Linked DNA regions of Ovis aries. The protein of the gene in region 1 purifies or fractionates together with the protein of each later gene. This does not show direct contact. Links are inferred from orthologs where the notes say so. Each region holds a gene or a part of one and is shown in the gene's direction. Other genes may lie near its edges.

Region 1 (4,075 bases):
GTGGGCGAGGACTAGAAGAAAGGGAAGACTGCTAGGATGTTGGATACTATCAGGATCCAAATCTGGTTGATGTTACATGGAGCTGTGTTCAAAGTGAAAATTAAGTGAGGGGGTTCTTGTCCCTTTTCTGTTGAAGAAAGAACACAAATAGCATGGCTCTTGGCCTGTGGGATTAACTTGTAAATGGGTATCAATGTGGTTCATCTTTTAAAAAGTGAGCTTCCGTGTAGTGGGGAGAGTTTGGGAATTGGATTTTATAGGAATGAGTCCCACTTGAGGAAATGTGATTACAGCCTCCATGAGAGATGTAAAATGCAGCACATAATCATGGTGTATAGACTTCCTGTAGAACAGAATGACCATCCCTAGACCATAGAATTGAGGATGCAAAAACTACAGTTAAGTGATACTCCAGCAATATCCCAAATAGAAAAGAATTAAATACTGCCTTTGTGAAGTCAGAGTATGCAGCAGAACCACGTATCCTGTATAAGCCATGTAAGAAAACGATCTGTACATTTAAGACATTAAGAAGCTTCAAGGACCTTGGTGGTTCAGACGGCAAAGAGTCCACCTGCAATGCAGGAGACCTGGGTTTGATCCTTGGGTGGGGAAGATCTGGAGAAGGGAATGGCAACTCACTCCAGTATTCTTGCCTAGAGAATTCCATGGACAGAGGAGCCATGGGATCGCAAGAGTCCGCCATGGCTGACTGAGCGACTAACACAAGATTAGTTTAGCAAAACTGGTACGTGCAGGCTCAGTCGCTTCAGTCGTGTCCGACTCTTTCCGACCCTATGAACTGTAGCCCGCCAGGCTCCTCTGTCCATGGGATTCTCTAGTAAAGAATATTGGAGTGGGTTGCCACACCCTCGTCCAGGAGATCTTCCCCACCCTGCTGGCTTCTGCATTGCCGGCGGGTTCTTTACCGCTGAGCCACTGCGGACTCCCAGTAACCCTGCAGGAACGTGGTAATACTGAGTATTATGGGACTTGTAGTTTCGGACGCAGCGGCATATTCTCCCCCACCTCCACCCCGATCCTTTGGGACTGGCCAGGAAAAAGTGACTTGCTGGGCAGTGGACCTGAAAAGCGAGCTCCGGCCCTGCGGATTGAAGGAGCCGCTTCCTCAGGAGAGGACCAACCCCACACTTGCAGAATCAGCTTCCCGGCGGGCTGCAGGGCGCTGAGGCGGACGCGTAGTGATGGCGTCACGTCCCGGTGCAGCCGCCATGGTTTCCCTGGCGACCGCTGTGCTCTCCGCGCCTAGGTGACGGAGATGCTGGCGAGGCGGCAGCGCGACCCACTCCAGTCCTTGCAGCGCCGCAGTCAGGAGCTGAAGCAGCAGGTACCGTCTGGTGAGAGACCTGGGCTCTGGCGGCGGGCGAGCTCCGGGGCGCACCCTAACTCTGAGAGTCAACCCCAACCCACCCTTTCCAAGTTGTAACCTCCCCCACCCGCAACGTACCGGGACCAAACCCTGATTCTAACCCCTCACGCTCCCAACCCAACCCCGGGGAGGCTAGAACATGGGATCCTCGACTAAGTGCTGTCCTCCTCTCCCTCCACCCCACCTAACAGCTCCATCTGCAACCTAACACCTCTTCTATCCCATCTCACCTCCAAATCTAAACGAATAATAACATCCCAACCATCTCTGCACTCAACATCACTTTCCTCCATTCTGCATGCTTCCTTTCCTTTCTCTCCCATCCAGTGGAGGCTCTTGAGTGTTTTTGCTTCCCATAAAGCCAAGCCAAATATGCATCAAGGAATAATATATAAGAAAAATGTTAAGACCTGCCAAGTGAGCAAAGGACATGAGCTAAAGAAGAAATACTAGTCACATAAACATGAGAAAAGTTGACTTCGAAGATAAGCAATTGCAAAGAATATAAGATACCACAAACACTTTAAAAATCTTGATGCTCTTGATGGGGAGGCTGTGATGAAACAGGCACTTTTACTGCCCCAGGGTATAAGGCACAGCATTTCTGGAAAGCACCTTGACAAGATGTAGAAGATATTTATGCTCCTAGACTGTGTAATTGCATTTCCAGGAGGAAGCACAAGCTGGAATTAAGATTGCTGGGAGAAATATCAATAACCTCAGATGACACCACCCTTATGGCAGAAAGTGAAGAAAAACTAAAGAGCTTCTTGATGAAAGTGAAAGAGGAGAGTGAAAAAGTAGACTTAAAGCTCAACATTCAGAAAACGAAGATCATGGCATCTGGTCCCATCACTTCATGGGAAATAGACGGGGCAACAGTGGAAACAGTGGCTGACTTTATTTTTCTGGGCTCCAAAATCACTGCAGATGGTGACTGCAAGCCATGAAATTAAAAGATGCTTACTCCTTGGAAGGAAAATTATGACCAACCTAGACAGCATATTAAAAAGCAAAGACATTACTTTGCCAACAAAGGTCCATCTAATCAAGGCTATGGTTTTCCAGTAGTCATGTATGGATGTGAGAGTTGGACTATAAAGAAAGCTGAGGGCTGAAGAATTGATGCTTATGAACTGTGGTGTTGGGGAAGACTCTTAAGAGTCCCTTGGACTGCAAGGAGATCCAACCAGTCCATCCTAAAGGAGATCAGTCCTGGGTGTTCATTGGAAGGACTGATGTTGAAGCTTAAATCCAGTACTTTGGCCACCTGATTTGAAGAGCTGACTCATTTGAAAAGACCCTGATGCTGGGAAGGATTGAGGGCAGGAGGAGAAGAGGATGACAGAGGATGAGATGGCTGGATGGCATCATCGACTCAATGGACATGGGCTTGGGTGGACTCTGGGAGCTGGTGATGGACAGGGAGGCCTGGCATGCTGCAGTTCATGGGGTCGCAAAGAGTCAGACATGACTGAGTGACGGAACTAAACTGATCTGTTAATATTACCAAGTATTATTTCCACTAAATAAAATTATTTTTATAATCTTTAGCAGACAGAAGATGTACTGAATGCTCATATTTTATCCAGTTTTGGACTTTCATTTAAAAAGTACAAAAGATTGGGTAGATAAATATTTCTTAAGGAACTCTATTGGAATTATAGTGGTACAACAGAATAGAATACTCTTCTGGTAGGAATAAAAATAAAAGTTAATGAGACACTAACTTAAGCTGAGCTTTGGCCAGATGCTTTATATTGCATTGAATTTTAAATTTAGTTGGACATTGACAGAACCAGGAAAAGTCGTAGAAGTAAGCCACAACAATTGTTACTGATATAAAGATGAAATGAAACAGTCACCAGGGTTGTTCAAGCTGGAACCCAGTTGGCTCTTGAGCCTTTTGGTACCCTGTGTGTCTGGGAAGGGCTGTGTGATATTGGGGGGTCCTTCTTCCCTGACCCCATATTAATGTACTTCTGCTCATGTTCAGGCGTGTCCGACTTTTCAGGATCCCAACGACTGTAGCCCTCCAGGCTCCTCTGTCCATGGAATTCTCCAGGCAAGAATACTAGAGTGTTTTGCCATTTCCTTCTCCAGAGGATCTTCCCAACCCAGGGATCGAACCCACGTCTCCTACATTGGCAGGCAGATTCTTCACTGTCTGAGCCACCAGGGAGGCCTCCGCAGAGGACACGTGAAGCAAAACGTGGCACAGACTTCCACCCTGCTGTCCATGGGACAAGTTATGAAGGACCCATCTGGGTTATGCCCGTGATGACTGACTGTCACCACGTGTGTGACGTTGTGAATAACAGACGCACAATGGCAAGAGTAGAGAATTTTTATTTCTTTTTTTCAATCACTTTATCTTTTCCACATCTACAGAACCCGAAAGATATATGTGCCTCTTTTGTGGGTATGTTGGCAAAGTTACAGGTAGTATTTGGAAATTGCTAAGTCACAGTATAAGATATAAGAATGAGGATAAGAAAGAAAAAAACTTGTGGTTTATTCATACAGGGAGTATTAGTCAGCAGTAAGAAAGAATAAACCAACGATACAGACAGCAGTGTATATGGAAGTATCCTTCCGATATGGAAGTATCTCAGAAATGATTACACGAAAGAGTACATTCTAGGAACTTTCTGGAGTAATAGTAATTTTCTATAGGTTGATAGG
Region 2 (3,462 bases), on another chromosome or scaffold:
GTCTGGGAATGGGGAGGGCTGGGGGATGTCACTTGCACTGAGTGCCCACCCCAGCCGAGGGTCAGTGCCTGGTTTGCAGGTGCCATGTGGTGGCTAAAGAATGTTGTCCTCGTGATGGCTTGTGGGCAGGCGTCCCTGAGGCCCGTTTACCACCAAGAGTCAGTGTCCCTGGCACCAGGCGGCTGTTGCAGAGCCCGGGCTCAGGCCCATGTGACCTCCGAGTCCACATCCTGGTCCGTGCCGTGCTGTCCATGGGGTTTGCACTAGGCCTGGTTTGGGGTTCTGCTGACCCAGGTGCAAGTGTGCTGAAGCCCACGTTGCCACACATTTGAGGTCTCTGTTCAGGGTCAAGGCCACGTAGAGGCCACAGCCCTGCCTGAGCGCCTCGGCCTCGGAGGGAAGGGGCCCCTGGGGGTGACGGCCCCTGGGCCCCGCCTGCCCTCTTGGCCGCCTTCTCAGCCTCCTGGGGCTCCCCTCCCACAGTCAGTGTAGTGTCCTCGCGGACCGTGAATGGCTTCTGCCCACAGAGACCGCTGGTTGGCAGCACCTATCCAGACCTGGCAGGTCCACCTGCACTCGCTGCAGCGAGTGGATGTCTCCTGTATCGCTGGCCAGAGGACCCGCCTGGCTCTCGTCCTCCGGGGGACGCAGACAGTGAGGAGGGTGCAGGCTTTCAGCTCACACCCCCAGGAGCTGACGGTATGGCCTTTGGGTGGGGGCTATTGGGTCTCAAGGAGGTCCCCTGCGCCCTCCCTTCCTTGCCCACCCAGGGAGGGGGTGGGAATGGTGCTGCAGCTCAGGGGATTCCTGAAGATCAACAGAGCCTTAGTTCACATTGCCTTTGCCAGATGTGCCTTCGTGGGATGACTGACTTATTTACAGACCCCACCAGCAACTTGTAGAATTTCTGGGAGTATATACTACGATATTTATGGGAGTATATATTGTATATCATGGGAAGAATTAACTGTGACTCTGGAGTCAGTGTGGCCGTGATTGTACATCTCGGTGATGGGATGATGTGGATGCCTTGCCCGAGGCTGGGCTGGTTCAGCTCTTCTCTGCCGAGGCTGCTCCAGCACTTAGGGGTTCCTGCTGTGGGGGAGGGGACTCAACCCCAAAGATGGGGACATGGACTGTGCCCCGCTGGTACTGGTGCCAGTGGCAAGGTTGACTTCATGCAGACTGGAGGGCTTCCCGCCCAGCACAGGTGGTCACCCCTGAACCGTTGGGCTCCCTGGGATGAAGCCCTCACCTCCTGACCCCCTTCTCTGTCCCCTGGAAGACGGACCCCAGAGGTGTGTTTGTGCTGCCCCCTCATGGGGTTCAGGACTTGCATGTGAGCGTCAGGGCCTGCAGGCCGGGCAGCCGCTTCACGCACCTCCACCTGGTCGACGTGGACGCTCACCAGCTAGTGGCCTCATGGCTCCTGTGTCTCTCCTGCCGGCCGCCTCTCATCTCCAAGGTCTGATGTGGGATGCGGGGCCACGTGGCTGGGTGGGATGTCCCCTGATTGTCACCTGGTCCCCTAACCCGGCCTGCTCAGTGGCTGGGGGTCTGGGGGGTGTTGGTTTCTGAACTGTGTTCTCCTAGGCCAGGACCTCGGGGGGCTTGTCTGCTGTATTTATGGAGCCATCCAGCGTCTAGGGCCCCGAGCGCAGGGCAGGCTTGGGAAGCTGCCGGAGAAGCAGCCAGGTGCCAACTCCTGCCCTCCCCGCAGGCCTTTGAGATCAAGCTGCCCGCGGGGGGCGGGAGGGGCGCCAACAAGCGCATCACCTACACCAACCCCTACCCCTCGCGGAGGGCCTACCGCCTGCACAGTGACCACCCCCACCTGCTGCAGTTCAAGGAGGATGCCTTCCAGGTGCGGGCTGCTCAGGGGAGGGACCCTGCAGGGTTGGGGGGCTCCAGGAGGTCCTGGGGAAAACCGTCTGTGCTCCAGTGAGATGCCTGCAGTCCCCAGGGGCACCCCCGCTGAACACTGCCTGGGCCTCTGACCCCACACCTAGGCCCCCACCTCCCCGGCAGTTTCACAGCAGTTTCATCCAGATTCTCTGGCAAGTGAGGCCTTGATCTACTGTGGCTATTTTAGGGAAAGTGAGCAGCGGCTCAGAGTGGATCAGAGTCTGTCAGTCAGGGGAGGGGGCTTAGTGACGTGTCTCTCAGGGACTTGGGAAGAGCGGCTGTGGGGGAGAGGGCTTGACAGTAACATGGGAGATTGGGTTCCAAACGTACATGTGTTTTCTGAAGCCTGCCAGCCTGGGGGTGGGGTGGGGTGTGTGTGTGTGTGTGTGTTTGCCTGGGTGGAAGCTGCTAGCCTGGGGTGTGTGTGTGTGTTTGCCTGTGGAGCTGGCTGGGTGGACACGAGTATGGCAACATTTCTTTCCAGGTCGGGGGAGGCGAGACCTATACCATCGGCCTGCGGTTTGCGTCCAGTCAGAGAGCTGGGGAGGAGGAGATCCTGATTTACATCAACGACCATGAAGACAAAAACGAGGAGACCTTTTGCGTGAAGGTCATCTACCAGTAGAGGAAGGGGCTGTCCCGCCATTCTCAGGGGCTGCTCCTGTCCCAGGACTCTGCTCCGTGAACTCAGCCAAGGATCGCGGGGTCCCCGCGCCCTGACCGTACATGATGGTCCTGTCCCGTCCCGTCAGGCTGCTGCCAGTACCGACTGCATAGCAGTCCCGTGGCAGATGCGAGCGCCCCAGTGAACCCAGGCCAGTTTCTCTCTGTGGCACACGGGCGTCGTCAGTGTCTATGACGTTAGGGTTTGCTCTCAGCAAAATGTATTTTATGAATTATTTTAAATGATAAAATTATGCTTTTTTTTACTGAGTTTTATACAAACACTGTATTGTTTGGTATGTAATATTTTTTTATACTGGTATTATTTCATATCTTTTAAAAAAACTACAAAAATATGAAACTTTTACACATTTTCTCTTTTGGCAGTTTTTGTGTTTTCTGCTGTTTTCACCTTCGTCAGAGGTTTTCTGTCCACAGAGTAAGCTTGGTTTTCCCTGTAGGTTGATGTGGCCAAGGGCAGTCAGGTGGCCCATGGCTTATGGCCTCTGGGAGAGTCTGCTTGGCCCTGACCTGAAGGGAGGGCAGCGCTGACCTCTGCCTCTGCTCTGATTCTCGTCTGCCTGTTTCCTCGTGGGGCCTTGTGATGACCCTGGACTTAACCTGGAGAGTCCAGGACAACCATTCTATCTCAAGATCCTTAACTCCATCCTTTTGACCTCACGAGATCACCTTCCAGGGATCAGGTCAGCCTGGGTTGGTGGACATTATTCTGCCCACCTCCATCCCAGTGCTTGTGTACAAAAGAACTGAGTTTACAGTGTGAAAACCCAACAAAGGGCGTCCCTGTCTGTTGCTTAGATTCTCCAAGATGTCCTTTCACGGGCAGCCCCTGTGTTTTGCATGCCCGCTGCACGCATGGCAGGATCTCTGCTC

The links.
Region 2: the proteins of NPHP1 (region 1) and NPHP4 purify together in Homo sapiens (co-immunoprecipitation; 6 studies listed by BioGRID and IntAct, with this or other methods). This does not show direct contact. The link is inferred for Ovis aries from reciprocal best matches to the Homo sapiens genes NPHP1 and NPHP4.

What each region holds. Positions count from the first base shown.
Region 1 is NC_056056.1:104,781,427-104,785,501, reverse strand, and holds the start of NPHP1 (nephrocystin-1), read left to right. Parts: upstream 1-1,264; 5' UTR 1,265-1,279; coding exon 1,280-1,348; exon of another isoform or gene 1,349-4,075. UniProt on the Homo sapiens protein: Together with BCAR1 it may play a role in the control of epithelial cell polarity. Involved in the organization of apical junctions in kidney cells together with NPHP4 and RPGRIP1L/NPHP8. Does not seem to be strictly required for ciliogenesis.
Region 2 is NC_056065.1:46,809,350-46,812,811, forward strand, and holds the end of NPHP4 (nephrocystin-4), read left to right. Parts: intron 1-527; coding exon 528-699; intron 700-1,285; coding exon 1,286-1,465; intron 1,466-1,720; coding exon 1,721-1,864; intron 1,865-2,389; coding exon 2,390-2,530; 3' UTR 2,531-2,944; downstream 2,945-3,462. UniProt on the Homo sapiens protein: Involved in the organization of apical junctions; the function is proposed to implicate a NPHP1-4-8 module. Does not seem to be strictly required for ciliogenesis. Required for building functional cilia.